Linked DNA regions of Schizosaccharomyces pombe. The gene in region 2 interacts genetically with the main gene of each other region. Each region holds a gene or a part of one and is shown on either strand. Other genes may lie near its edges.

Region 1 (7,503 bases), on a different chromosome or scaffold from region 2:
GCTGTAATTTGTTTTAGTTGTTGCTTTAAATGATAAAGAATAATGAAATCCTTAATTTTGAACCATGGCAATAAACAAAGGAATGGAAATTATTTTCAATCTCTAATTTCGAAATTAACATCCCTATAACCCATCGTTTTAGTTTTACCATTTGCTAACCTTACCCAACCTTCGAGACGTATTTTAATCGGCTTCAAAGGCTACAAATTTTTACTTATTTATATTAAAATGGAAATAGAGTACGAAAATGAATATGTTCATCAAGTATATGATAAGATTGCAACACATTTCTCAGATACTCGATACAAGGTAAGTTAATACAACGATATTTAATTAAAGCTAATCAGTCATTTTGTAGCCATGGCCAGTGGTTGAAAAATTTTTAAAATCTTTGCCTTTGGGCTCTGTAGGAGTAGACATTGGGTGCGGAAATGGCAAATACCAAAAGGTTAACCCAAATGTTTACATGATAGGAAGCGATCGTTGCGTAAAACTTGTTAAAATAGCAAGCAATCTAGGTCCTATGGTTATTTCTGATGGCCTGCACGTACCTCATCCAAGCAATCGGTTTGATTTTGCCTTAAGCATAGCTGTAATCCATCATTTCAGCAATGAAAACCGAAGGTTGCAAGCTGTTCAGGAAGTTTTAAGACCATTAGTAAAAGGAGGGAAAGCACTATTTTTTGTTTGGGCTTTAGAACAAAAGAATTCAAGGCGTGGTTTTTCAGAAGACGGACCGCAGGACGTTTATGTTCCTTGGATATTAAAAAGGCAATATGAGTATCCAAATGCAAAGCCGGAGGAATTAAAGGGGCACGATCCTGCTGAAAATATTGCGTATCAACGTTACTACCATTTATTTCGCAAGGGTGAATTAAATGAGTTAGTAGAGACCGCAGGCGGCTCAATATTGGAACATGGCTACGACCGTGATAACTGGTGGGTAATTGCTGAAAAAAACTAAGTTTTGGAATGAAAATTGATCGTCATATCACCTTGATAGAACAGATTTTTCATCTTTCTTGAACTTGTTCTCAAAAAGTTGGAATATTTCTATTTTACCTTAATTACATAGTTTAAACTATTTTCGTTCGGAAAATGATTTTACAGATTTTTTTTTTTAATCTAACTGGTAGAAGAATTTCTGTGTTTTATGTCTCGATTATTAATTTACTGCGTTTAATTATAAAATGAAGCGATGAACTAGTCATTCCCAAGGGCGAAAAGCGGTCAAATGTACTTGTTTTCAAAAAAAAAATTGACGGTTTCTTAGTATGACAATAGTGATAATTTGATATCGATTGAAGTGGTTTTCTGTTAAATGATACTATACATCTGTGAATGGGTTGGAAATTAAAATGTTAATCTAATTTTTGTTAATAGTTTATTCACGTAGGTTAGTGAAATGACGGTTCAAAGGTTGCATAAGTATTGGAAATCGATGAAGTATGTCAAGCAAAAACATTTTGTAAAATGAATAAATTTCAAAAAAAAAATATTTTTTTTTAGAATAATTTGGAATAATCATGCATTTCTGTATATGTTAAACTTTTAATATAAATCTGTGCTTGAGTATGAAATGAATTATCTAAAAAACAGTGTTTGAATAAACGTGTCCCAATAATAATGATAAATTGTAAAAAATATGTAGGAATTATACAAAATTTATTAAGCCACAAATAGGAATAGTAATTAACGTACAAAATTTGATTTGAATTTAATAATTTAAATGCGACTAAGTTACTTGCTTTTCTATTTACCAAAACGAATTCCAAAGAGAAAAAAATAAGCAATTAATAGTTTGGCAAAACACTTACTGCATGAATTAAATTAATAATCCGACATGCATTAATAAATTCTTGGTTGCTAAATTCAAATAAAGAAGTAATCAGCAGTTCTTTGCTCCTTAGTCGAATGATTACTTTTTTTCTATTCCATTCACCTTCTATTTCGTATTTGTTATATTCATAAAGTCTAGGAAAAATATAAAAAGATTTCCAAGATCCTAATTATCTATTTAAAATTATTATGTTGATATATCGTCGCGTAATATAATTAAATCTTTTTTTATCGAAACCTCAACAAGCTTTGGTGGTTTAGTGGTATAATGAATCGTTGCCATCGATTCGACCCGGGTTCGATTCCCGGCCAAAGCATTATTTTTTACCAAAACAATTTTTGGATTTATTTTGATTTGTTTGAATTCAAGCACGTGGTACTCTGGATACCTAAAATATGTACAACTATAGATTCCAGTAATATATATATTGCAAATGACTGAACTCAATTCTTCAGGCGCTATACTGTGAATGCAATGTTTCTACGATTTTTTGCCATGAAAAATAACGATGCTTATTTACCACGATTCAAAGTAACTAAGCGTTTGGTTATATTCGCTTGGAATACCAATCTACATTACAATGAGGAGGCAATAATTGCTATGATATAAAGCTATTGTCAGAACCAAAAAGTCCTGAGTTTATGGGAAAGAGTGAGCTTACTAGTTATGTAAGATATTACACTCTCTATCACAAAAAAAAGCAAGTATGCGGTAACAATTCTTCGATTCCATGACTCTTTTTAATTGGCAAGTTGTTGTGCTTCTTCCGTCGGTCTAAAACAACTAAATTCTTATTTATTGACATCTTTAAGACCAAAATAGTCGCTTGTCAAATTCGTTACTTCCAAGTGCCACCATGTGCTTGTTACTTAAGAAAAATTTAGACAGTCACACGCTCCTATTTATTAAGGAAGTGTAGTCAGGTTAGCGAGAAAAAGTACATTTTTTCTGTTTTTTTTTATTTTTCTTAATTTTCTTTAATAATTTTTTTTAATTGTAAAGGAGTTGTTAAGATGGAGTCTGAATCTGTTCCCACCGTTCCTCAAACCACTCGTCCCGGTCCTCGATGCTATAACTGTGGTGAAAACGGTCATCAAGCTCGTGAGTGCACCAAGGGTTCAATCTGCTACAATTGCAATCAGACCGGTCACAAGGCTAGCGAATGCACTGAGCCTCAACAGGAAAAAACTTGCTATGCTTGTGGTACCGCCGGACATCTCGTTCGTGATTGCCCCAGCAGCCCTAACCCCCGTCAAGGTGCGGAATGTTACAAGTGTGGTCGTGTTGGTCACATTGCTAGAGACTGTCGTACAAATGGTCAACAAAGTGGCGGACGATTTGGTGGTCATCGCTCCAACATGAATTGCTATGCTTGTGGCTCTTATGGCCATCAAGCCCGTGATTGCACTATGGGCGTGAAATGCTACTCTTGTGGTAAGATTGGACACCGCAGCTTTGAATGTCAACAAGCTTCAGATGGTCAACTTTGTTACAAGTGTAATCAACCAGGCCACATCGCCGTCAATTGCACCTCTCCTGTAATTGAGGCATAAGTGCTTGCTATTTATAACCCTTTGTCGTGGTATGAAGATATTTTTTCTTTTTCTTGTCCGATTTATTCAAATTTGGCAAGTGGTCATATTCTTACAAATCCCTTGAGCGATCTGCGCATTTAGTTATATAGAAAGCATAATTTTACATCCTTCTCTTCGTCCTTATTTTTTCGCACACTTCTGAATTCATTTTTGCTTCGGATCCTTAAGGATATTTGTACTGAAGCCTGAGATGCACCACCTCATTTCTCTCCTGTTTTCTCGTCACCGCTAAAAGATGGATGTTGATAGATTAAATCCTTTTTGTTTCAGTTTATTTTTACTGTTGTAGTGGCATTTTTTTCCTATTATTTTCAATTCACGAGCTTGAAATAAAAAAATTTGGAATATGGGAATTCTATAAATGATAGAAATTCCTTGGTCCATTTGGATGATTTGTTTTTTTTAGTGCCATTATTTAATGGAACTTTTGGTTTTATATGACAACTCACTATCAATTTCATTTACGAAATGGGTTTTGGCGTTTTCGTATTTTTTGAGTAACTTAATTTACCTTATGTGTTTGTACAGTAAATGTTAATGCTCTGACTTATTAACAACTTCTCTACTTCTTAATCTCTCATGGTATCTGTATAACAATATTTACAAAAGGGTTCTGGGTCATTTGCCTAATTAATATTATTTTTTCCTTGCATTGCTTACTCTGCTTTTCAAAAATGAACTGTAATTGAAAACGGGTGAACGATAAATGTAACAGTTGTCATAGACAAAAAAAAATTTATTAACTTCAATTTTACTTTCATACAAATTTGACATCGAATTTGTCTATTACATAAAATCGTAGTATATTAATCCAAAATTTTATTGTTCACATAACTCAGCCAACTGCGCTCGAAACAAACGAAATAAACTTCTTGCAAATTCACCTTGAGAATGGTAAATACTCTTGAACGCTTTCTCTTCATCCCTAGCCAATTGAACATGCTCCGATAACCAAGAGGGGAATTTTTGACCAGGCCTGCTTATATATCCCACCCCTAAACGATCTTTCATAACATCAAATTTGTATCTACTTACAGGTTCATAAAAGTCAATGATTGCTTCTAAGCATTGATCACATATATTGGTAGCAACAGAAGGCCGGTAAAATGAGGTAATGCAATCTTTAAACTTAGTTAACTTCGGTATTCTATTGCAAAGCACACAACGGCCTACAAGATTGCATGCTAGCTCTATATATGTAGACTCATCGCATGACTGTGTTCCATCTCCTGTTTGGATGATCGAGGAGGCTAACGAAGAAGTATCAGAATGAATTGTCTTTGCTGCATAACTTTGATAACTTGGATCAAGAAAAATTGGAATGATTGTAGGGATATCGGTAAATTTGGCCACAGCACTTGTGTTTATAGACTCAGAGCAAGTTACAGCCGAATTTGGATTTTTTTTATGCACCTTAAGTAATCGTTTCCAAAATGAAACATTTCGAGGGCTGAGAATCTTTTTAAAACGTAAACATGTATTGGGGAGGTCATGGATAAGGGTATGTCGTTGTTTTCTATATGAAAATGCAAAGGGTAACTTCTCTATGTATGAAGCATCATAGCAATATGAAAAAATCAGCTGTAAAATTTCATCCGGACAATCCAAAATTTTTGCATACTTAGGACTCTCAGATGAGTATCTATAATATAAATTTGACTTAGGTGAAGCAACAGTTAAATTTAATGAAGAGTCAAGATTATCGCTACTTGGTATTTTTCTGAAAGGCAGGACTTGGGTAGTATACTCGGCATAATCATTAATCAATTCTAGAAGATTTCTACTTAGTGAGCATTTATCAAGTAGACCTTCATAATCAATCATTGCTGAAGCATGCGAATCTCCATCAACAACCAACGTATTCCAGACACCATTCCAATTGTCTTCTTCATCAAAATTAGAACAGATCGAAACCAATCGCTTCATGGCTCTTACTCTTGCTAAACAATGCACAAATTCATCAAATGTTTGAGGCTTGAAATATGAGCTTCTTATTTTTTTGCGAGTATCGATTAGTATTCTTAAAAACGATTCATCTTGATCCAAGTGCTCATTCACGCTGGTATTCATATAGCATGTATGCGTTTTGCAATTTTGAAATGAAAATTGAAGCATTTAGTTTGATTAAGTAGTAGTACCCATATACAGTTCGTTGATGGTGATGTTGGCTGACTGCAAGCTCAATTTGCCGGTTATCAACATTGCATAATTATACATCACATGGTTACTTACTCATACCGGCCTGAGAATTAGGTGAATAAAAACCTATATAGAAAACAGAAGTTTTATAATAAAAACTAGTGGTATACTTCGCATATTATACTAATGTGGATCGAATTTAATTCTTTGTGTGAAAGACGTAACATTGGTGTTATCAGATCAGATAAGACAAATTGATCAAACCCCCCGGCGGGGGGGGGGAAACTTGGTGCTTTGAATTTCATTATTGAGATTTTTGCTTTGCAAATTTAAAGAATTGTGAATGAAAGAGTTTTATTTATTATTAACGACGTGTAGCTGAATTGCATAACTTTAAGCTTGATTTAAAAATTTGCTATTTAAAGTTGATATAGTTCGAGTAAAAAAAATAAACTAACAAAGGTACCTCAAAATTTTACATACTTTACTATTGCTAGTAAAAATGACAAGCATAAACACCTACGGTTTATAAAGTCAACAATATATATATATAAGATAAGGATAAGTAATTAAACTTCTACATCGCTGAGACGTACGCAGTTGAAACGTTTTAACATAATCAGATCATTGAAAGTAAATATTTTACTCTTTATTTTGCTCATATATGAAAAAGGCGATTTTAAAATCGGATGCAAATTTTTTTTAAATCGAGTAGATATTTCAGCATCATTGAATAAAATTCTGAAACATCCATTCATACTTTTCAACATTTAATTATAAAAAAGTTTGGTTCGTAATCACTGAAACGTAGAAGCAGGATAAATTTAAATTATCCTTGAAGCTTTTTTAAAGAAATAAGAAAAATATCCTATTTGGGATAATTAGACGGCTCAAACACTAAGGATTAAAGTTTATTACAATTAGCATTTGTAGTATACAGAATGCTATATGTTAAGGAAAAAGAACGAAATTAAATGAATTTGGAGGTCATGAGGCACGCAACATTCGATCAGGTTAAATAAACAATAAGGAATAAGAAGAACTCCCTATAAAAATAAATATTTCGGTTTCCTTTATTTACGTTGTTACAGTGAAAAATGAAGAATTTGCAACAAAAAAAAACTTTAACTTAGTACTTTTTAAAACGTGATATTCTCATCGTCATCAACCTCTAAACTTTGTAGCCTAGCATGTACGAAATCTGGTGCAGAGGGAACGCGTTGAGTTTCTGAGTCTTTTAGGTCAGTCATTTGAGCCTCTTCAGCGACGTTGTTAGTATCATGGTCCGTAAGGGCGGTAGTTAAATCTGCGGGTTGATCAGGTGGTAACTCAAAACCATCCTCAGTAGAATAAAGTATTGCTTGAATACGCTCCAACATATTTTCCATTGACATAGGAGAAGTGGTCAAATGAGTTTGTACAAGTATTTCAATTTCTCGAAGCTTGTTAAAATAGAAATCACGTTCTCTCTCCAAACCAAACATCGTCTCATTAACTTCGTACAACTGTGTTTCAAGACTAGTGATTTGTTGTTGTGCTTGCTTTGCCCTTAACACTGCCGCAGTATTTGCAGTCGAAGACACGTTATTGTTGTTTGCTGATGACTTAGTCATTGAAGGTGTAGAACTACCAGAAGAAACCTGACGGCGACGAGAAGGGCCAGTTGCTCCTGCAGAGGAATTCATAACACGAGTGTTAGCAGGTCCTCTATTCCCCCGGCGTGCCAGCGCATCATAATCGCCCCCAGGATAATATTGATCCCAAAAACGTTTGGCCCATTGAACGAACTCCAGATTATCTTGCATTTTACAACGCGATAGTCTCTCAGGGTCTACAACTTTATCGATACCCTTCTTCAAGAATACCTGTTGAAGAACTTTCCAATTGTTTATATATTGATACTCATTATTGCATTCAAAATTCACCTTT
Region 2 (8,320 bases):
ACGGAGAAGGATTTGATGAATAGTGGGGACCGCAGTATACCAAGTAGCACCATACTGAATAAACTCCTTCCAGAAGCTGTGAGCAGAGAATTTGGGAGGTACAACGGCACATCCACCAGAAGCTAAAGTAGAAAGGAGGCCACAAAGAAGACCGTGAACGTGAAACAAAGGCATGACAACGTAAGAAGTATCTCTTGGATCCAATCTATAAGAGGTAGTAATGTTATGGATGCTACGGCACAAGTTTTTGTGAGTCAAAGGAACGACTTTAGGGCGTCCAGTGGTACCACTAGTATGTAGGACAAGCATAACGTCGTCGGGTTGAGGAAGACCAAGTGGTTGAGGAGCATTAATTTTGGCTCCTTCAAAGTGAACAATGCGAACTAATCGAGACTTGGGACACCAAGCAAGTTCGGCCACTGCGACAGACAATTTCTTAGCAGCACGAACAGCAGGGGTATTTGCGGCAACGGAGCCTTCGGGAACAATGACGAGTTTACTTTTCAGATCATCAATGTAAAACTCAAACTCGGATTGCTTGTAGTTGGAGTTCAGGGGCCCACAAATAGCTCTTTGCCAAGAAACAGCGTAAAAAGCTACGACGAATTCCAAGCCATTGGGAATAGCAATGTTTACAGGGTCTCCAACTTTTATGCCAAGGCTGGCAATTTGGCGCTGAAGATCCATAATAGCAATTCGAAGCTCACTGAATGATAGTTCTGCATTTAAAGAAGGGGCTACCAAGGCTCTCGCACTAGCATCACCTTGAATAGCTGAATATAAAGTAGTAAAAGACATTTTCAAAATTCTAACACCAAAAAAAGTTTATATATGATAAATTAAATAAGTAGTAATTCAAAAGTAAGAATTACAATGTTTAACCTCCTCAAATGCGGATTAAGGAAGCAGCAAAAGGAATGAGTTTACACGGAAAATGAGTTAAAAAATCGGATAGATAGGTAAGACACTAGTAAAGCTAAATACCTAAAAAGTTTTTCAACGCACGAATAATAAAGAGTTTCTTCAAGAAAAAACTACTCAAGTATTGAAAAAAAATCTTTTAGACGAGAAATCTTGAAAACTTCCCTAAATCCTTTGTAATTGGTTTTTACTTGTATATGTTAGTCAAATGTAAAGTGAGTGTTGAATTAAGTGATTAAATCTTTTATTGCTTCATTAAAATAACGTACAATGAACCAACTAAAATATTCTTCTTTTAATGAAGGTAAGTTTTTGTTAAGTTGAAGAAATCAAGAATACAGTACTAGACCCGATTGCAAATTAGATCCCCTAAATTGCGCAACAGATCTAGGCGCGAACGCAATGATTTATCCGGTATTCAAAGGGAGGTGGTAGTAACGAAATTTACGGTAAGAGTATAACAAGAAAAATATGGATTCCTTATTCTGGACTTTTATAGAAATTAGTTAAAAAATATTGATGAATGAAGAATGGCATTTATGGTGGTTGCATCGAATCGAATTCATTACTAATGGAATTGATTTGTCTACATTAGTGATTCTTCCTATCTTTTGCAAATTAAATGAATTCAACGGAAATGACTCAAAGGTATAATACTAAAGCACCTCCAAGAAAAAAAACTAAGTTGGTAGAATTAAATTTCTGTTTTTCTGAATTTCACAAAACTAAGCGTTTCAATTGAGAAAGTTATTCATTATCTCTTTTAATCATTAATTTCGCTATTATGTATAAATTATTCTTCATAAACTTGACTTATATTAGTTTAAATCGATCGCATTTGCATGCTTGCAAATGCTTCGATACTTTCCATTTGTCAATTTTTAAAATTAATGTAAATAGTGCTTTACAGCAGATTGAAAAAATTGCTTGCACTTAATTATCTACTTAATTAAAGGACGCTGGAATATACAGACAGGTCTCTCCGTTCTCAATCTAAAAGGGATTCATCCAGTTTAGTTGTAATGGAATCATTTCAGCATTGTACCAAGTATCAAGTTTTTTACTGGATGAATATAAATATAAATTAATTGAAGTAGTTTTTTTTTTAAATCGAGAGCTATATGTTTGAAATGTGTTAGTGCTTTTGTTAATATTTCCCAAATAGAAACGGTCGAGAAAGAATTATTATTTGACAACGAATCCCTCAAGTAAAGTAAGTATAATAAGGGAATCCTAAATATTGAACTTCCCTGAGTAAAAACCGTTGATGCTGAATCAAAATATTCCTATTTCGGGTTCTTTTAAACTTTTTTTATGGAAAAGGACATGTTCCTTAAATTCGTCGGCTAGGTAAATGTTAAAAAATTTATGCGAGATTACAATGTCAATGTCACTTGATAAAGTAATCCACAGTAAAGTTTACAATGATTAAACAGAACATTGCAAACGATGTTTGAAGTTATAGGGATTTTTACGTTGAAATTAAACGGGTGGTTTGTCGCCTCAAATTCACATGGTCTATCTCTGATACGTCCGATATTGCTACTGATTTTAGGAAATTATACTGGTTTGTTGCATTCATCAACGCCTTGAACACTGAATTAAATCTTCTCTTTTTTTAAACTAATTCGCACTTCATATTTCCCGCTATCTCCCATTGATTCATAAATTAGTAGCGTGAGCATATGCGAAACAATACCTGCAAAATATGTGGATTATATCATCTAAATAATTATTAGTATTCACTGCAAAGATTAAAATTCCTTTTTCTTAAAAAATTTATTATATATACATACGTAAAATTCTTTCCTCAATTTGATGTCTTAAATTTGGTGGTTTGCTTGAAGGCATATTATTCTCAAGATAATAAAATTTTTTTTTTTTTTTTTTTTTTTTTTTTTACAAAAATAATATTAAACAATCATGCTCAGTCAAATTTCAAGTGACGAATTAATTTTTGGTATTTATTTTTTAATACGAAAAGGAATATATACAAATTGCGACTGCATCTAATATAGTTTTGAATTAGCTAAAGCAGTAGCATAATTTTTGCACTATTAATTTAAATAAATATTATTACAATCACCAACATTATACAAATGTTATTTTCGATTTTATATTTACATTCAATTTAAAATTCATAGATTTTTCACTGTTAACGACAGCTTTTTCTCAAATATTAAATTTTGGACTATATTAGTTAAATAATAAACGCAAGTATATACCACTAAGTAAAAAAATTACATAAATTTGATTTTTGATTGACTGTTTGCTCTTACCTAATTAATCCTCTTACCTATATTGTCTACAGCCTTATTTTTTTTTAATTCATTTTTGTGGCCAAAAGGCTTTAAAGTCTTAATTTACATGAAAATAACCTTTTTCTTCTTTTAATTTCAAGAAAAAATTGTAAATTAAAAGCAAACTACCTGCATCTTGTGGTCAAATTACTTAATCCTTATTAAAGTTCGTTTTTGAGTATAAGTACGCTAATTGCTAGATTGAAATTCTACTGAAAATTATTGCATATTTTGTAATGCTTACATTATTTTTAGATCTTGCTAATTACTTGTCTTCTTCGAAACATGGGTGATATTTCGAAGCACAATATTTTTTCCCTTCCTGAGGATATCTTAGCAAAACTAGAACTACGAGAGGAATACTCAGTTGAGGAAAAAACTGATAGTGCTAATTTGTCAAACCAAGGCGATATTGTTGATTCCACTCAGAAAAATATATCATCATGTGTCAATTGCCAGATTGACAATCTGCATACTCTGGACGAAAGAAAAAGTCATATTAAATCTGACTGGCATAGGTTCAATACGAAGCGAAAAATTACAAAATTGCCTCCGGTTTCTCAAGACGAATTTGAAAGCATAATTGAAGATTTACCAGAATCACTGTCTGGCAGTGAAAGCGAGACAAACTCAGAATCCGAAGAAGATAATTTCCAAATAGAGAAGGCTTTTAAACAATCCTTGAACATAGGAAAAGTTGACTCCGCTGACGAAAACAACAATCAGCGAACAAACTCACCATTAACGTGGTTTCAATTGAGTAATGCTTCTGCCGAAGTGCCAACCTATATTGGTGTATATAAACACATGTTTTCCGGTAATAACCATATCACTAAAGATTTACTTGTTCAACAACAAAATCATAACCGACAAAAGCCACTTCAACTAGCTATGTTTATGGTTGGAGGCGGTCATTTTGCTGCTATGATTGCTTCTAATGAGTTTAATCCTCGTGATCCCCATGTACCCAAAGTACTAGCACAGAAAACTATTCACAGATATACAACTAGAAGGAAGCAAGGTGGTTCTCAAGGGGCTGCTGACAATACTAAAGGGAACATTCACTCGGCAGGTAGTGGTTTGCGACGTTATAACGAACAAGCTCTTATTAAAGATATTCAGCAAGTTTTTAAAGACTGGGGAAAATTATTAGAAACATGCGATTTAATCTTTGTACGTGCAATCGGTTCATCTAATCGTTCAATTTTCTTCTCTCAACCAGGTGCTCTTATTTCTCCAAAAGATCCAAAACTCCGCGTATTTCCATTTACTACTAAACGAGCCACACATTCAGAATTACTTCGTTGTTACAAAGAGTTGGTTACTCCGAAAATTAGTCACGTTGATTCAATTTCGATAAAAGCTCAAGAAGAAGAACGAAAGAGACAAGCCGAAATTGAAAAGGAAATTAGACAAAGCAGATTACAAGAGGAAGAGAGGAAAAAGAAAAAGCTTGCTAAATATACCGAAGTAATTATCTCCAATTTGAAAGCGTCTAATATTGAAGCATTTTTGGAATATTTGCGCTCTAATGATTTGTCTATAAATTTTCAATTTTATCCTAAAAATGTTCATTTGCACACATCTACACCGTTGCATTACGCAGTTACCCAAAAAAATGCTAAATTAGTCGCTAAACTTCTCCGTAATGGTGCTGATCCAGCAATGCTAAATGGGAACGGAAAGACACCTTTTGAGATTAGTACTGGAAACAAAGAGGTTAAAGATGAGTTTCTAATTGCAAGGCATGAGTTGGGAGAGTCATTTTTCGACTGGGAAGCAGCTAAAGTTGGGGCTCCTCAGTCTAGAGAACAAATTCAGAAACAACGCCAAAAGGCAAAGACCAAATTAGAAAATCAAAGAAGGGATAAAGAGAGGCAAGAAGAACTTAGACGGAAGGAAGCGATGCAGAAAATTGAAGAACAATCGAAAAGGGATTATGATAAACTGCACGGCGAAGGTCATTCATTAGGAATTAATAATGTTCGAAAAGTTGACGAATTGCAATCATTAAGTCCAGAAATGAGAATGCGAATTGAACGTGAAAAAAGGGCTGCAGCTGCCATGAAAAGAATGCAAACAAAATGAGAAGCATAGTTATTTTAAATTAAAAAATACTTTACTAGAAAAAGACAACAAAAGGAATATTGTAAAAATATTAATCTTAGTATACGTTATTCACAATTCTATTATGCATAATAATAAGATATTCCAAATATTATTGTTATTACTCTAAAACCCCGTATTTATTTATTTGTGAGCAGCCAAAACCTTTTTGTTCTTCTTTTTGCTAGATTTTTTCGAAGCAACTGGACTAGCCGCCTTGGGATGAGATACATCCGATTCCAAAGTAATCCCCAATTCTTTGAGCTTGCGCTTTTTGAGTTTAAGCTTCCGATTATGGCGAGTAATTAACTTATCCGCTTTCTCCTTGCTTAATGGTTTTTCATGCTGAAGACGCGCTATTGTGGCATGAGGGATGCGTTTAAAAGGAACGTCGGCGCCTTTAAACATGTTTTCATGAACCTGGTCTTCAGGAATAACCTTACATTGTAAAAGCTTTCCATATAAAAGATAATTATGCATTGTCTCAGCAACGACATTGGCAACGTCTAACGATTCAAACTCGATGAAAGCATAATGCTTACTACTTCCTGTCTAATGCAAAAAGTTAGCAGTCGAAAATAAAAAGAAGAACTAAAATAGTCCGCTGTAGATAATAAATGTTACCATACCTTTCTATTGCGAGACATGCGAAGACGTAGCACAGGACCAAATTGAGAAAAATACATACGCATCTGTTTCTCATAAAATCCATGAGGAAGTCGGCCAACATACAAAACACCTTTTTTCTTTTGAAGATTCTTATTTTCAGAAACCTTTTTCTTTATGGTTTTCTCAGCATCTTCGCCCAAATCCATAATTTGCCTTGAGGTATTAACTAGCGCATTTGGAGAGTCTTCTTCATCATCATCTGAAGAACCGAAACCAGGAAAAAACTCTTTATCTTGTCCTTCTTCATCAGAGTTATCTACATGACCTTGTAATGATATATGCTCGGCTTTTTCAGCATCTTTGACTTTCTTCTCACGAAGAACCGATTTCGGTTGATTCACCGATTCTAAAATCAATTGAGTTAAAAACCATACAATAGTGATATTATTCCTATCACTTACTTTTCGAAGACTTTATAGGGCTCTTTGCCTTCGACATAATGTTTTATAAAAGTATAGGTATTGAACTGAATTTTTCCAGTGTCAAAAACGGCCAGATGCCTAAATTACAAGTTGTTATACATTTCCTTAAGCTAGACATGGTAGAATTTGAATTTGCGTTAAATATTCAAAAAATTTTTTAATCTACGCTAAATTTTTACAAATTGGTGTTAAAATTCGTTATTCATTTAAAATGGGAAAAAGTAGAAAATGACTTACTTCAAATATTAGAATTATCGATAGTATTATTCAATTACAAGGAATACAAATCTTTTGAAGGCTTCCGTTTTGGTTCGCAAGCACAAGAAACTTGATTAATAGAGGCAGTCCTCTAATTATATCACTGGCAAGGTAAAATAACAGCAAAAATGAAATATATTAACAAAGTTTTTCTTTATTCAAAACCTAATTCCAACTTTTAAGGTATCGAAAAATCCGTGGCAAATTTTGAGAGAGAAGAGTTATAACAAGAACAGGAAATTCGTTGTTTACATAAGTCCCTTCTTCACCGCAACTTCAGCATTCAAAATACCAGCACCAGCAGCACCCAAAACTGTGTTATGGACGAGGGAGACAAATTTAATATCAAAGATGGAATCAGATCTGATACGACCAACTGATACTGCATAACCATTTTCATTGTTACGATCGAGTCTAGGTTGAGGGCGGTCAGGAGTAGAATCATCGAAAACATAAATGGCTTGTTTAGGGGCACTGTAGCAGCCTAACTTTTGAGGTTCAGAAACATAGTTTGCCAATACTTCGCGAACTTGATCAGGAGTAGGAGAGGTCTTGGCAAACTTCACAGAAATACACATCAAATGGCCATCAATAACAGGAACACGATTGCACTGAGCAGAAACAACGTTATCAGTCAACTCATATCCAGAAATTGTGCTATTGACAGAGCCCAAGATTTTACGTGTCTCCCATTCAATTTTTTCTTCTTCACCGCCAATAAATGGAACGATGTTATCCAAAATGTCAAGACTGGAAACACCAGGGTATCCAGCACCAGAAATAGCTTGCATACTAACTACATTTGTTTGAGCGATAGGACCAAAAGCATCTTGTAGAGCTTTCAAAGGTACTACAACAGCAGCAGTAGAACAGTTAGAGTTAGTGATAATGCATCCACGATCCAGTTTGTTTTCTTGACGCTGGTACTTGATAACGTCCAAATGATCTGTGTTGACGGTGGGGACAACAAGTGGCACGGTAGGCTCACGACGATAGTTTTTAGCATTCGAAACGATGACTAAATTAGCATCACGAAAACTTTTTTCAATTTCGCCAGCAAAGTCAGCATCTAAGCCGCTAAACACAATATCGCATTCCGAAAACTCCTTGGGATCACAAGCCTTTACACTCATTTGGGAAATCTCTTTAGGCATTGCAATAGATTGTTTCCATTTAGTAGCAACTGCATATGGTTTTCCCGCAGAACGAGCAGAAGCGCCAAGAACAGCGATCTTAAACTCAGGATGATCGGAAAGGAGGGTAATGAAACGCTGTCCAACGGTGCCTATTTATGGTTAGTCATGTGTATCCAAAAACACTAGTCAGTGACACGGAACTGAAAATTTAATGTTCATCAAAAACTTATAGTACTAAAGACATGGAATTAAAATGATAAAATGTGAGTCTTTCCAGGCAATTTAATTCAAAAAGTGTACAATTAAAATGTAGACCAATTAAACAAGGAACCTAAAAAGTAAACACAAATTATTTTGTAACAGTCAATCCTTTAACTTTATGCATTTTTTAATGTACATAGAGCAATCGTTTGCAGTTTTGACAGAACATTACCATTCTAAATTTAAACATACCTGTTGCACCGAGGATTCCAACTTTTTTTATAGCCATTGTTTTTAATCAAGAAAA
Region 3 (7,063 bases), on a different chromosome or scaffold from region 2:
TCCATTTCACTACGTTGAGAATCAGAAGGATTTAAAATAACCTGTTTTTTGCCATCAATAACTTCACGCTCTTGCTGATGGCTAAGCATACCAGCAACAGGTTTGCAGCCATAGCTAGTAGCAATTTTGTCAACAATGTCAGTGACTTGCCAGTTAGTATTACCAGGTTTAATAGTGCGTTGAGCAGCCTTCAAAGCAGCAGAAGCAGCTGCAATAACATCAGCGGCAGGACCAGTAACTGGTTCTTCAGAAACTACAGTTGTAGTAGCGACCAAGGAAGCAAATCCATCAATATGAGCACCCAAAAGAATTTTTACAACATCACCCGATTTCAAAGCGAGATTGGCTTCGGGATCACTTTTTAAAGGAGATAAATGAGCAGCCATATCATTAGGAGATACAGCGGTAGGGAAAGCAATACCTTTATAAGCATCCTTGGTACGATATACTTTCTTGATAGCTTCGTTCAATAGTTCATCACCACGAACGCAAATATCGTATATTTTGGCTCCAGGTTGGCATAATTCTACCACTTTTTTAATAACATTTTGAGAAACTTCGCCTGCAATTTTATATTTATTGACGGTTTCAGGATTACTCAAAGAATAATCGACAGCAGTCTCTGAAGTTGCTTCTTTAGTCGACATATTGTCTATGATGTAGCTAAATCTGGCTACAAATTCAAGAACTTGGTGCTAGGATTTTGCAAGTCACAAAATTGTGGACTCCAAACTCATGAATAACATGGCTCATATTGAATCCTATGATATAACTAAATAGTAATGCTATTAAAATTTACACATATTACCCAGACACAATATAATGTATGAGTTTTTAAAAAATACAATAGAACAATTTACTAAATTCCTGATATAAATTTCTCCAAATAATATCATTCACCTATTAAACTGTAACCGATTTCCATTTTGTTCGTTTTTTTAAGTAGCAAACATCTAATCATAAAAGTCTTGCTCAGCATCATCGGAGTAAGCAAATTCATCATTTTCACTGCTATCTTGCCATTCGTCTTCATCGGGATAGCTATTTTGATAGAAGCTTTCAGCGTTTGAATCCTCATCAATTTCATCATGTAATGGATCATCTTTATCAGAGTCCACTGTCTCGGAGACTAGTTCCTGTTCTAATGAAGAACGAAAAGCGTCTGGGATGGACAAAGCATCAATTACACCATAAGCAAACGTTGGCTTGTTTGGTTCTTTGCTAGATGCTTCATAAATATCGTATACGTAGTCTTCCGTAGATTGCTGAAGAGGAAGGTCTCCATTTGACAAATATTCTTGAATCATAGAATCTAGCTGAGGATGCGGATGATACGTAGTATGTCTATGAATGTTAGTTAAGGTAAAAAAAGCCAAGAGCCAGTTCTTATAACAACAGAACTAAGTAATTGACTCTATTTGATGTTGACATACCCTTGTTCGACACGGATAGCGTCGAACACTCTATTACTTTGAGTAGAAGGTAAATTCTGAATTGTATAGCGTGGGGATGAGAAAGAAAGAATACCTTTTGTATTTTCACGGGATCCCAAGTCCATGTGCGTAGGTGCTTTCACAACGTCTTCAGAAGTTTGGACGACAGGGATTCCGTAATTGTTCTTTTTTAGAGATGATATTTTTGTATGACTGTGGATATTTCGAACGTCTTCATGAGTGGGTTCCGAAGATTCATCATTTATCTGAATATACCGATCATCTTGCTTCAGCGTTTGTGATAGTTTAAAATCTAGAAACTGTCAATAAAAGGTAATTGTGTTTTTCAAATGATTAGTCCTTGTGTAATATTCCAACACAAAAGCTCAAGAAGTAGCATACAATATCGTCCGGCGAATTTCCTTCTTTTCGTACTTGAAACAGAATTTGGATTGTTTCCAAGTTCCAAATCTAAATTATTAAGGAGTTAGATAAAGAAAGTTTACTTAGAAGCTTGGTCGTACATAGGGCGTTAACAGGATCTTCTGAAGCTTTACGCTTAACTCGAAGTACTGGAAGAGGCATCTTCGTATCACAATTTAATAACGAGAGTTAGACGACTCTTTAAAAAAGGAATTAATATAACCAGCAAAATCTACGGTTGGGGGATGGCAAGTCTGCAATGTAAAAAAGGTAGATATAAAAGTAGCTCTTCGACTGAAAGACAGCAACTTCAGTATAACTTGGATTGAAGTAGTATTACAACAACGCAATCTTATCTTTCAAAATGTAAAATATTCTATAGTTTTATTATTTTAAAATAAAAAATCGTGAAGTTCATTATTTATATCATTGTCATCACTTAACAAAAAGAACTTTTCTATAATAAATAATGTTGAGCAAACAATGAAGCAAAAATATTCAATAAGTCTAATTACACAAATTCACAACTTAAAGATGCCCCACAACAATTAATTCCACTCAAAAGAACCGATGATATAAATGTATACTTTGACGATTAACAAAGATTGGTCTAATCAAGCAATTATCTCATGTAATACATTCAGGAAAAATGTATTTTGTATTGTTTTAATTAAATTCAAAAGAGGGTACAGTCAATCTCTACTGCTGCAATCTGTACGAGAATTGTCTTTTTTAAACAAAACTTCGAGAACTAGTTTGGATGCTTTTTTTTTTTTTTTTTTTTTTCACATTTATTTCTCTCTTCTGAAAAATATATCTTAATCAACGATCGTATGAAAATGAGGTCTTTGTAACATTTGACATATATCTTCTACACACCCAACTGGTACCAACAACAGCATATGGATGGAACTTCTCAAGCTTTTAAAATTATTGTAGCTACAATAATTATAGGAGCTATTATATCTACCCTAGGAATTTTTTTTACTAGAAAGACAATTCAAAAGAAGTTACCAGCAGTGTTTTTAATTGGACCTAGCGATTCTGGAAAAACGTCTTTGTTTTGTGAGGTATAACAATAATATACAATCTTTGAATACTTATTAACTGTTATATAGCTAATTTATAAAGAAAAGAAAACTACAGTTCCTAGCATTGAACCTAATGAAGCTGTGTGGAAATATGGTGCTTGGTTAGTAGATCTTCCAGGGCATCCCAGGGCCAAACGTTGGATTACTACTAAATTCTCTGGAAATTATAATGTAAAAGCTGTAGTTTTCGTTCTCAACAGTGCTACAATTGACAGGGATGTGCACGAGGTTGGATTGATGTTGTTTGACACAATTTTAAAATGTCGCAAGCATCATGTCCCTCATCTATTAATTGCCTGTAATAAATTTGATCTTTTTACTGCTCAACCTGCGGAAAAAATTCAACAATTGTTAAAAGCTGAACTGCACAATATTTTGGAAGAGAAAAATCTTCAACTCGAATCTATAGTCTCTGAAGATGTCGATTGGGAATCAGTTGCAGATCAGATTGAAGATACTGATCTTAAATTCCTTCCTGGCAGCGTTGCAAAAATGTCGAACATTGAAGAATGGATTTCATGGATGGAATCAGCTTTACAATAAAGATGCATTAATTATTCACAATTGATAATTTACAAGTAACCAACCAAAAAAGATATATTTTTGCATGTCTAGAATAAGCTATCGTTTTATTTCAAAAATTCGTAATCTTGTGTGAATACTGTAAAATACTTAAAAAAATTAACAGGGTTGTTGACAAACTGATTCGTAAAGTACTTGTACTTAGGGACAGCTTGGGTAAAAAAAAACAAGAGAAACATTAATATTAGTATAAGAATATCAAGAAAAGAACAATCCAAGGTTGTATCAAAGCCTCACATACGCAATGAAAACACTCTTGATCATTATAAGAAGGTGAGCAACAAGCTCAGTTGATAAATGGTGATACTTTAAAAAAATGACTGCAACGAATGCATCATATGAAATATTCTAAAAAAAGATAAACATCACAAAAAAGTGAAGCTGATAAACAAAATTACTACACAACAAACTCATTAAGTCCTACAAACAAAAACGTGATATTATAAAAACTTAAACACATATTTCAAAATGGTTAATAACTGGGTGGTCGACGTGACCTGCACGTTAAATTATGAGGGAAAATTGTCTAATGCTCAAACATGGTCTCAGTGATGATACCAGTGACGAGGTAAGGATCGATGGAAGAAGCAGGACGACGATCCTCAAAGTAGCCGCAACCATTCATGGCGACAGAACGGGGGATACGAACGGATGCACCACGATCGGCAACACCATAAGTGAACTTATCGATTGAACCAGTTTCATGACGACCGGTAAGACGCAAGTCGTTGTCGTCACCATAAACAGCAATGTGCTCCTTATGGCGTTTGGCAAACTTCTCGAGATAAGACTCAATAGCTTTTATACCACCTTCAGCACGAGTGTCCTTAGTAGAAACGTTAGTGTGGCAACCAGCACCATTCCAGTCACCCAAAATTGGCTTGGGGTGGAAGGAGATTTTGACACCAAAATCTTCGGCAATGCGGTGAAGAAGGAAACGAGACATCCAGAGTTGGTCACCCATTTCAATACCAGCGCAAGGGCCGACTTGGTATTCCCATTGGGAAGGCATAACCTCAGCATTGATACCGGAAATGTTGATACCAGCGTAAAGACAAGCCTTGTAATGGGCCTCAACGATGTCACGAGCAAAGACGCGGCCAGTACCAACACCGCAGTAGAAAGGACCTTGAGGACCAGGGAAACCACCCTTAGGCCAGCCAAAGGGACGGTCATAGTAGTCCAACATGGTATATTCTTGTTCAATACCAAACCAAGTTTCTTTGTCAGCGTGCTTCTCCAACAACTTGGCGCAAGCGTCACGATGGTTGAAGCCGTTGGGAGAGCCATCAGCGGTGTAGCAAGCAGCGAGAACGAGAATGTTGTCACCGCGACGGAAGGGATCATTGTACATGGCAACAGGCTTCAAAAGAGTGTCAGAATTGTTGCCGGGGGCCTGACCGGTGGAAGAGCCGTCAAAGTTCCAAACGCGCAATTGGTCAATAGAGGAAGGCTTGGCATCGAGAGTCATGGTCTTGCTACGAAGATGGTTGAAACCATCGATCCAGATGTACTCAGCCATAACCTTACCATTTTGAGGAAGATCGGCATACTTGTTTAAAATAGCAGCCTTGGAGAGAAGAGGTTCAACGTCGTATTGAGACATATTGAAAGTAAAAGGGAAAAAAAAGGTAGAAAAACAAAAGATAAAAAAAAACGAAAGTCTAGAGAACGGAAATTTGAAAACTAGCAACAGAAGAAAACCCCGTTACAAAACAATAGATCGATTACTGTAAACCAGGATTAACAAAATTTGTCAACGATCGAAAAACCGAGATAAGGATATCGAACGAAGTATATTAATGAAGAATAAAAAAAAAGTAACTTTAAACCAAGGCAACAATTATACCGAGTTTAATCTAAATTACCGTGTAGAGAAGAAGAAAACCCCCCAAAAAAAATTTATATGTATAAAATAAAATATGTGTAGGAGCGTGAATTATATATGTTACTAGTAAAAGCAAATATATAACAGCGTTTTTTTCGTTTTACACAATCAAATCTTTCTTTACAAATCTAGAAGAAAGAAAGCCGAACAAACGAAACGAAACGAAACAAAAAAGGGTGGAAATTTTTTTTTGGCTTCGAAAATGTTATTTGGAGAAGAGTAAGGTGACTCGCGCCTTCACTTTATATACCACGACCGGTTAATTGCACCTCGTCCTCCAACACTCCGTTAACGAGGAAACCGGCGTAGATAAAGAGTTTGGGGTAAGGGTTGCAATAGATGGGCAGCATTTGATTGGGGGGTTCTTGTCCAGAATGCAAGATATCACAGATGATTGGAAGTATGGGCCAATCATGGAGCGAATGAATGATATGGAAGATAATTTATCTAGAATGATTGGCGGAAAAGGCGCCTAAAGATAGTGCCAGGGATCGCCTTTTTTCCATTTTTTTATCATGAATTAACCCGGAAAAGCTGGACACCGCAAGTCATCGTTGCTGCAATTACGGAGATTTTCGGAGCGCGTAAAGAGCGAGAGAGAGAGCAGGCTGGGTATGATGGGTGCTCATGTGTTCGCTTGCATGTATGAGCAAAGCAAAGGGAGAGTTGATACACACACACACACACACAGAAAGAGAGAGAGATATAGAGAACGAGGATATCAGTTTAAAGAAATGAAGCTTCATAACGAGTTGCCTTGAAGATATACATTGCTATTACTACGATTGCATGTTGTGTAATTAAAATTAACAAGGTGTCATTGTAAATAATCAGTTTATCTCAAATGTGTGATAGTCTAAATTTACTTTTGCTACTAAGTAGGTAATTAGGTTGGGTTGCTTTATCTCTAGGTAGGCAGTTCTTCGTTGGTATTCTAGATACCCCAACCAAGTGTGGACGTATGCGACGATGATAATAGTGGATAGGAAAGCTAGACGCTGACTATTCAGCGTGTTTTAATTTTAATTTTTTTTTTTTTAGATGAGGAGGGGCTTCTTATCAGGATTCAATGAAGCTATGTGTTGCCAGCTGTTGACTAGACTAACATTGAAGTAACAATACCAGGGCACGACAAGTTCCATCAAGGGCATGTCTTAACACAGTCAATATGAGTGAGGTTAGCAATAAGAACGAGGTTAACAAAAACTGTAGAATGAAAACAAAGAGTAGCGCAACAAAATAGAGAAGAGCGATAGGGTCGCTGAGATATTGTTAATGCATTCATATAGTCAAACGATGGATAGAAACGAAAAGATTGCTGATAAATCGCATGGATCTTTGCAAATTTATTTTACAAGCTAATTTCAGTTGCGCGCAAAAAAAAAGTAAATAAATAGATTTAAAGAAAAAAAAAACAGAAATATAATAAAAATAAAGTAAAAAAAAAAAAAAAAAAAAATAGAAAATAAAATGCTATATGCTTCTCCATGGACTGGGCCGCATGAATATCATATTCATCTGTTTTCCCTCTCTTGCTTGCCTCTTGACATCTCGGACTCCATTGTGCGCTCCCTTGTTTTCCCACTTGGATGGCATGACACCATGCCCCATCGATTGCGGTTTTGCCGTGGGGCGTTCCCGTGGAG
Region 4 (8,501 bases), on a different chromosome or scaffold from region 2:
GTACTGGCTGAAAACTTAAGCGATAGCTTAATTACGCTATGTAAATAGATAGAAAAGAACCATTGTATATAGATCAGGTTATCCCAGAAGCTCCAAATTATGAAGATATTCTTCATAAGTACACCCGATTTCCAAGGACTTATAGCGAGTAGCAGTTATTTGTAAAGAACGTATTGATCCATAGTAGCCTGCTTTATGTATCAAGCTTTCTAGGGTTTCCTCTTGATCCCAACGTTGTTCAGCCGCTACAGAAGGTAGATAAGTCGAAGAATAACGAATTCCATTTGCCGTAAATTTAATAGACACGCCATGTATGCCAACTTCCCAATCTAATGGATCATCTATCGGTTCAAAGTCGACTAACAAGTCTATCTGGCACTCTAAAAGAGCCAATTCTCCCAAGGAGATAGGACGAAAACGTTCATCACAAAATGCACTATTTTTAAAATGTTGTATTAGCATTCGGTTACTCTTCTTTTCAATTTCATCGGCAATTTCATACGAAGGTCTATGATTTATCATTGACGCCTACAACGAACTATGAACCATTTTTAGACACACTTACGCTTGTTTACTGAAATATGTTAAATTTGTAACTAAAGGACGTGCCCGGAAAGTTCCAATGCAACCTCGTAGTTGTTTATCATGGCCTTTTCCAGATGCAAACTTTACGAACAGAGGGATACTACGGGTCCAACTCTTTGCATTCCACTTGTCTCGGACCTTTCGATGCTCTAAAGTTGCAGCAACTACTTCAAAGCAATAATAACAATACTCTTTCTTGTCCATTTATATTAGTGGTAGTAGCAATTGCCTACGGACGCTTTCGGTACAATTTGTAAGCCATGGTATTTTATTCATACATCATTCCAACTTTCTTTGTTTAAGGATGGCCAACAAATCATACGTTGTAAGTGATTACGATAACGTCCAAGTTCATTATACTGTTTCATGTTTCATGTTAAAAAAAGTTAGTTAGTAGGGCCCTGTTTATGTCTTCTGTCATAAAGTGAAAGAAAATGGAGAACTTGTTTAACTGTACACTAAAGCATTCTTTACAAAATAAATACTCTTCTAAGTTTTCACTACCTAGTTAAACAATTCATGCAACAGCAGCAAAACTTATTGAATTCAAAAGTAGTCATATATAAATTAACATTAAATCAAAAACAAGATTTGTAACCATAACTTCTTTTTCAGACTAAATAACAGTAACATGTTCCCATTCACAAAACTAGATGTATACGCGTATATAATATATATATATATGTATAGAGAGGGAGACAGATAAAGAGAGAAAAGTCCAAGCGTTTAAGCACCGAAGCCTTGTTTCTTGCATCGGAAAATCATTTCAAAAGGGGTGTCGCAAAAATTTTTATGTAGTTACCACAATATCCTAGTTATTGTACAAATCATTATCTACATTAACAGCATAAGTTCCGTACAAGCAGAATAAAAAAGTAAGCTTGCTGAAGCCTTGTATGTCTCAAGCCGACTTGCTTAAGAAAAAAAGAGCCACGGCAGAAATCTTATTCATCAGAGCGAACTTGCTCGGGAGGAGGGGTAGGGGGATGGGAGTACCTTTCCACATCAGAAAACAAAGTCAACGTATTGTCTTCAACTTTTTCAGCAGCAATTCGACATGCAGGCCTATCACTGACAACCCGCATCCAACGCTTAATATTTTTGTAAGGTTTCTGAGATAGGTAATCTCTTTGAGCAGCAAATATAGGAAAGCACATCTGCGGGTCCGCAGCGGTGAACTGTTCGCCTGCAAAGTATTCGTTCGATGCGAGGTGATTATCAATGTAGTCAAGGTTCAAAAATGTTTCTTTACTTAGATACTTGGATTTTATCCCATTCACAAACTGGCGAACAATATAACGAAAGAAAATGGGAGTCATGTTCACACTAAGATCCAAAACATGACTTGCCCAAATAAATGGCATAAGAGATGCTTCAGAAAAGTGCATCCATAATTCATATTTTTCCAATTCGGCAACATCCTCTTCTGAGGGTTTAAATGACGGTCCATACTTTCTGACCAGGTGCTCCAAAATGGCTGCACTTTCAATGTAAGTGACACCGTCATCGACAACGATAGGACTCTTGCCTAATGGTGACAACTTAGTATACGCTGGGGGAGCACGTCCGTCGACACGGTCATAAACTTTGATTTCATAAGGCACTTTGAGTTCTTCGAGCATCCATACAATTCGAGTAGAGCGAGAGTTCTTTAAGTGGTGTAAAACAATCATATCTGGTTACAAAAATAAAAACAAAATCAAATTGAATACTCAAAATAAATACTTTCTAAGATGCAATAATTTCGATCAAAGAAGGGAAGTATGTGGGAATTGGAATGTATATATGGGTGCTGCTGCGTCTACACCTCATATGCACGTCAGTCACCGAAATATATAGTGGCGTATGCAACAAATACGCAAAACACTTTATGTTTGCTTAAGAAAAAGATACAGTAGATATAGGAATGAAATAACATCTTCATTTGAATTGCTATCACTAGTCCGTCATGAGCCCGCTGTAAAGGTGCAGTACTAGATTTATATGAAAGACCAATTTTACTGTTGTAGTCAGTACATTTATACTAAAAGAGCAGCAGTTGGATTTACTTGGCATTCTGACTGACATATGAAAAGAAGTTCAGTGGTTGAATATCACAATACAGAAGCCATATTTTACATAAATTGGAGTTACGGTTTTTTCATAGTTAACAACGTATACTGCCTTGTAAAACGTGGTGTTAACAAAAAAGTTATAGTACTAAATTTGTATACCGAATATTCCAAAATAGTTCATAGACAAGCTATCTCAAACAGTTCAAACTGTTTCCAAAGACCAAGCAAGATATAATGATTAGTTTTTGATTCCAATAATATATGTTACTCGTTATAACACATAAAAGATATCTTGATTTTTCCTCAGCACTGCTGCAAAGGACGATTCTTATCTAAAACAGGACTTGAATTGACTTAAATCTAAAGCTGGGTTGTTTGCTGTTAATTTTGATGCTCAAAAATCCAAAATCTTTTTGTAAAAATGATATTGTTTTGCTTTAAAAACCATCAATTTTCACTCAAAAATCACTGATTAGCTAGCTAATGCCAACTCCCTTTCATGAGTACTCCATACTTATCGCACCAAGACTTTATAAGATCTAGCGAAACATTTAAATTTTTCCGCTTCAGCCAAAGTTGAAATTCTTCCACATCAATAGCAGAATACGTAAGAATTTTAATCCACACACTATTGTCTTTGGCTTGCTTAACAACTTGCGAAATTGCTCTATGAGTCTGTGTCACTATATCATCAAACTCCAATACTGTTTTAGTAGAAGTTATCAAATAATCATGGGGAGTTTCTTTGCCTAATTTTTTAGACTGAGATCGGCTATCGATTGCATCCAAACAAGATTCTACTATCTTAATGAGAGTTGCTTTCGAATCTGATGATTTGAAGCCATAACTTTCCGCTATAGCACGTAATTTTTCAACCGGAAAATTCTCCAACTTTTCTTTTAATGATTTAGCTTCATTATCAGCGTTTTTGTTAGTGTCCATGTAACCGGCATAGTTTAACAGGGTTCTGCTACGGTCATTAAATTCACATGAAGTAAACTCTTTAATATTGTCCGTTTTTTTTTTCTTATGTGTAGCACTATCGCCTTCAAGAAACGAGTTTGACTGACAAGTTGAGTCTATTGAATGACCGGCGCTTGGATGCCTTTGCTGAATTTCATCAACGGTGGAAACAGAAAAACAAACGTTTTCAGTAGAATTAGCCGATTCACAAAGTTCTTTTATAAGAGGACTCCTGTTGGCTTCAATTGATTTATTTCCTAACTTCTCTAAAGATTTTTCGAACAATTGAGGCTTCCTATGGTAATAAAAACCACTAGAAGATATTTCTTCCCTATTTGAGTGATATGCAGAGTGCTCGAAAGTATTTCTGCATGAAGCACTATTTTTAATTTTGCTGTATCTAGATAAAAGGACATCATTATCTTCAGCTACCCGAGTGTTAAGATCGGGTTCTAAGATATCTGATTCATTGTCGCTAAAGGAAGAAAAAAGAAGAGGGAGATTTTCAGTATCAAAATCTTCTTCATCCACAGCGTTTAAGTTGTGCTCATGAACCTTATGTCCCGTACAATTGTGATGCACAAGCTGTTGAGTAGACTCAAAATCACATTTAGAAGTTATCAGCCTAATTTCACAACATTCAGTAACAGATCTTTTTCGTTTACTATTACAATCTTTAGGGTTTTTGTTTAGCTCTGGCTCTATTGTTATCATGTCATCATCCTAAAGCTCAGTTAATATACATTTACTTCAGTTCAATGTAATATTTCTAATCATTTGCTATAGAATATCATATTTTTTTCATACGTCCGTGAATATATCAGGAGAAGATGATACCTCAATGTATTCTTCAGCCGACATCCATTTAATGAAACTTAGCTTGAAAGCAGCGTACTCAGAATCCTAAAACACCAAGAAAACGAAAGAATATCCCAAAAAATGATGAATATTTAATTTCGATTGTTTTGTTTTGTGTACTAGCCTGAATTTGTCGAAAGTTTTTCGTCCAGTTTCTTATTTTGGTTTAGACAAGTGGCAGCAAAACCAGAATATGCTTGATATTTTAACTCATCGTCTGATAAAAATAACTAAATGGTTTCACAAAAATGCGCAATACGAAAATGAAACAATATTTAGATAAAATCTTATTGATTGAAATGCAATGCTTCGTAAACAATACATAAATTAGAAAATTACAAAAGAGAGAAAAAAGTTAGGTAAAAAGTGTATGCAAAAGATTTATGATTTGAATCCCAATTTTTTTCCGAAAAGAGTTTTCATCTTTTTGGATTCTTTGATAGAGCTAGATGACGACTTGGCGTTTGATTGTTCACTTTTTGCTTTCTTCTTAAACAAATGTAAAATATCATTAGCAGCAGATTTAGACTTCTTTTTTGCTTCAGTAGCAATGTTGTGAGTTATAGTAACAGTTGACCTTGCAGGACTCAACGAAGGCTGCGTAATTCTTTTGGCAAGTTTGGTTGTAGTTGAAACTGGCTCAGAACGAGGAGGAGGAGGAGCTTCCTTTGGAGCCTCACCATCTTTTTCTAAGCAAAACTGAATCCAATTATCAAGGCCCGAATCGTATGCTGAATATTCTTGAATCTTTTGATTGAAAAAGTTGTAACGTTGATCGGTAGAACCTAATTCACCCAATCCATCGAACGACATCAATGGACTCTTGACAAACGCATCTAAGGTAGCAAAGTAATTTAAATTAGTTTCACTATTATCAGCCTTTTTGGAAATTCCAGAAGAAACAGCATCCGCTGAAGCACCGGAGTTAATGCTAGGAGAAGTGGTCGACTGCTGAGTTGAATTATTTTCAGCACTTTTAGAATGAGAAGATAAACCTGTCGTGCTTGTCTTTAGAGATAGTGTGTCTCGTTGATCCTCTTCCTGAACGACTATTTGCTTGTTGGGTTTTGGAGGTTCTGGCAAGGATCCACGGCTTAAGGCAGCAACTTCTAACTCATCTCTATTTAATGGTTCAGAGTGAGACTTATGTGTACTGGAATTACTGGATATTGAAACTGCATCGTGAGCAGCTACCACTTCGACCTTTGTAGTTGTCGTTTCTTCAATTGCGGGAGCCTTTGAGTTACTTGACTCAGTGTGAGAAGTAGTCGCTTCAACAATAGTTGGAAGACTAGTTTTATATGGATATACGTCTTGTTCTACAGAGGCTATTGTATGTTCATCGTCAGATGACCCCTTAGTCCAAAAAGGGTCTTCGGTATTCAACTTGGTAAGAGCTGGATCGGGCTCCTCCGAAAGATAACCATAGATACTTTCCAAGCTTTCTGAGTTTTTCAATAGTGCTCCTTCCTCTAGGGAGTTGTTAGAAACCAAAGAAGAGCGTGGAGATCCAACAACAGAAGCAGCTTGAGGTTCAATCCCTTGCTCGACAGAATTGGGTGATGTATCTCCTTTCACATCAACTTTTTCAAGGTTCGATTTTGAAATATGTTTCTCAGCATTGTCCTGAAGTAGATTGGAATTACTTTGAGTTTTTCCAACAAGGGTATATTTTGACGAATCGACAGGCAAATCGACAGCGCTGTCAGAAAAGCTATCAGGTATTGAATCGATAGAGCTGATAGCATCAAAATTTCGCAAAATACGACTATGAGTACCCGGTTGTTGGGAGAAAGAAGGATCGTTCGTAACTGTCTCAACCTCCGAATTGGTAGCATTATTTTGTTTAAGTGAACGAATTGTGGCTACCTCATCATCCACATCTGAATCTTGTAATCGTAGTTTAAGATTTTCTTCATCCAACTCACCTGAGGGCTGCTTACTAGGAGAATAAAGAAATGGTGAATTTACAGAAGTTATAGATGGATGATGCTCCGGTTTTGAGAGGTTTTCATCCTTCTCCTTTTCAGCATCGATTCCAAAATCGTTAGATAGTGAGTCCGAAAGTTCTTCCTCTGGGTTTTGCTGCGGAGACTCAACAAATGGAATAGACAAGCTATCAGTTGACTTAGTAGTTTGTAATTGCTTGACATGAGTGTCAATATCTGTTCGAGAAAGCTTTTCATCAGGACTAGGTATTTGTTCAAACTTCTCATTTGAATGATTCGAGTGTGAGCTTGTTATAGAATACGCATAACCCTTATTAATAATTTCGTCAGTTGGTTTCAAAATTGTATTAGTAGTCATGTTCGTATCTCCCTCCTCGACTTCTTGAACAACCTCAGATTGCTCAATTGCTTGTTCCGTAACAGGCTTTGAACTAGTTTCCAAAGTAGCTTTTTCACTCGTATTATCCAATTCATTGGCATCATCGTTAGCGGTAGAAACAATATCTTCTTTCACATTATTAGCAATTTCTACCGCCTCGGCAGAGTCCGGCAAAGTTTGCTCCATTAATTCGCTATCTAGTACTGCATGATCGTCATTAGGAGATTTCTTATCGTTCAACGAGGAAGATAGGTTACTAAGCGTGTCCCCAAAGAAGCTGGTATGCCTATGATTAGGTTCATATACGACGCTACGAGTTTTTGAACTTCTGGAAGAGGTAGCCCTGGAAAAATTGGAGCCACTACCAGTCTCTGCAACTGAAGCAAATGAGAATCGGTTCTTATTTGGAGCACGAGCAAATACGTTTGATTCATTGAGCTCTCTGACACTTGAAAAACTATCTCTACCCTTGATAGGAGGTAAAGACTCGGGTATTTCTTCAGCCTTTTTATACCTAGAGAAACTTAAAGGACGGATAGCAAGATCCTCTGCTGGACTTGAAACAGATCTCCTCTTTACATTTAACTCTCTTCGATTTTCCATTTGTCGAATATCCGAGACCCTATTATCATCTTGACTTTGAGGTTGAATGGCTGAAACTTGTGATGATTGAGATGAACGGGTGCTAGAAGATGCCATGGAAGATTTGTAATCAATCGGCTTAGAATTTGGATCTTTTCCTAATTTCTGTAAAAGAAATCTCCTCTTTTCGGCCCATAACCGTGCACTTTCATCAGCGGAGACAACCTTAGTAGCAAGCGTCTCATGGCTACTAGATGCTGCTTTTCGGTAAACAAAAGTGCCAGGGTATGAAAAGTCATAATTCTCGTTCTCACTTTGCTCGCTAAAGCTACTTGCCTCGTTTTCAATATCATCCTCTTCCTCCTCTTCTTCTATAATGCGATCGGTTCCGTCAGAATTTAATTCCCTTTCGGGATTCTTTCCGATATTCTCACTACTGGTGAGATTACTTTCCTTATCCTCACTCTCAGATTCTTCACTACTCCATTCATTACCTTCATAACTTGGAACATTGGAAATCCATCTTCCTGATACGTGTCGTTGCAAGCCTGTGGCATTACTTTGCTTTTGAGCCGTATTTTCTTCCATTGACCTATTAAGTTTTCAAATATATAGTCATGGACTAAAATTCGCTTTTTGTTTACTTATAAAACCGTTATTGATGTACTATTGTTCATGCGTAAAGTTGGAGGTGAAGGGATAGTAGTAGATTGCTGACTACCACATAGTCACTGCATAACATTGACTTCGCCAGCCCCATACGTTAACAAGCACAAGCTTGTAGGTTATTTATTGTTTTAAGCACAAAAATTGTAAGCAAACACCTTTTCAGAATGTAGCAGATATTCATTGTTTTTGATGTGGCTTACGCGTAATCCTAGAAGCGTTTGTTGAAGAAATCAAAGTACTTTTAATATCTAATCAGCTAATAGGAATGATGAACAAATACATCAATCTTCAAATTTAACATATTAGTATTTACAAAAGTGGAAATTTATGATTGCTAACTTCAACAGGCCAATTAATACAATTTACCTAATCATTGTGTTTCAAAACCAACTTGTTTAATTTTTCATTACTCTTAGATTCTTAATAACTTTAATTGGAAAACGTTTCTTGAAGAAGGATCTA

The links.
Region 1: mutations in vms1 (region 2) and pof14 together harm fitness less than expected from each alone (positive genetic interaction), as found in Schizosaccharomyces pombe (one large-scale study listed by BioGRID).
Region 3: mutations in vms1 (region 2) and iwr1 together harm fitness less than expected from each alone (positive genetic interaction), as found in Schizosaccharomyces pombe (one large-scale study listed by BioGRID).
Region 4: mutations in vms1 (region 2) and slx4 together harm fitness less than expected from each alone (positive genetic interaction), as found in Schizosaccharomyces pombe (one large-scale study listed by BioGRID).

Annotation. Positions count from the first base shown.
Region 1 is NC_003424.3:2,243,833-2,251,335, reverse strand, and holds pof14 (F-box protein Pof14), read right to left. Parts: upstream 5,602-7,503; 5' UTR 5,551-5,601; coding exon 4,255-5,550; 3' UTR 4,208-4,254; downstream 1-4,207. Other genes in the region: tRNA (uridine) methyltransferase trm9, read left to right, coding at 229-309, 359-964; byr3 (translational activator, zf-CCHC type zinc finger protein), read left to right, coding at 2,854-3,393; microtubule plus-end binding protein, EB1 family Mal3, read right to left, coding at 6,714-7,503. UniProt on the Schizosaccharomyces pombe protein: Expression is induced during oxidative stress. Plays an essential, SCF-independent, role in the stress response to hydrogen peroxide for survival, by negatively regulating ergosterol synthesis via direct binding to the squalene synthase erg9.
Region 2 is NC_003421.2:2,379,226-2,387,545, forward strand, and holds vms1 (protein Vms1), read left to right. Parts: upstream 1-3,227; 5' UTR 3,228-3,405; exon of another isoform or gene 3,406-3,476; 5' UTR 3,477-3,506; coding exon 3,507-5,309; 3' UTR 5,310-5,471; downstream 5,472-8,320. Other genes in the region: pcs60 (acetyl-CoA ligase), read right to left, coding at 1-798; SPOM_SPCC1827.05C (RNA-binding protein NIFK), read right to left, coding at 5,472-5,879, 5,957-6,342, 6,398-6,434; hom2 (aspartate semialdehyde dehydrogenase), read right to left, coding at 6,925-7,961, 8,266-8,302.
Region 3 is NC_003424.3:1,592,437-1,599,499, forward strand, and holds iwr1 (RNA polymerase II nuclear import protein Iwr1), read right to left. Parts: upstream 2,104-7,063; 5' UTR 2,019-2,103; coding exon 1,958-2,018; intron 1,905-1,957; coding exon 1,836-1,904; intron 1,747-1,835; coding exon 1,434-1,746; intron 1,345-1,433; coding exon 954-1,344; 3' UTR 866-953; downstream 1-865. Other genes in the region: peptidase family curved DNA-binding protein Cdb4, read right to left, coding at 1-647; signal recognition particle receptor beta subunit Srp102, read left to right, coding at 2,759-2,926, 2,975-3,490; glutamate-ammonia ligase Gln1, read right to left, coding at 4,056-5,135; SPOM_SPAC23H4.05C (uncharacterized protein), read left to right, coding at 6,895-7,063. UniProt on the Schizosaccharomyces pombe protein: Directs RNA polymerase II nuclear import.
Region 4 is NC_003424.3:3,114,538-3,123,038, forward strand, and holds slx4 (structure-specific endonuclease subunit Slx4), read right to left. Parts: upstream 4,637-8,501; 5' UTR 4,464-4,636; coding exon 4,410-4,463; exon of another isoform or gene 4,326-4,409; coding exon 3,120-4,325; 3' UTR 2,343-3,119; downstream 1-2,342. Other genes in the region: SPOM_SPAC688.03C (AMMECR1 family protein), read right to left, coding at 79-436, 566-789; glutathione S-transferase Gst3, read right to left, coding at 1,530-2,258; protein Rng10, read right to left, coding at 4,842-7,958. UniProt on the Schizosaccharomyces pombe protein: Regulatory subunit of the slx1-slx4 structure-specific endonuclease that resolves DNA secondary structures generated during DNA repair and recombination.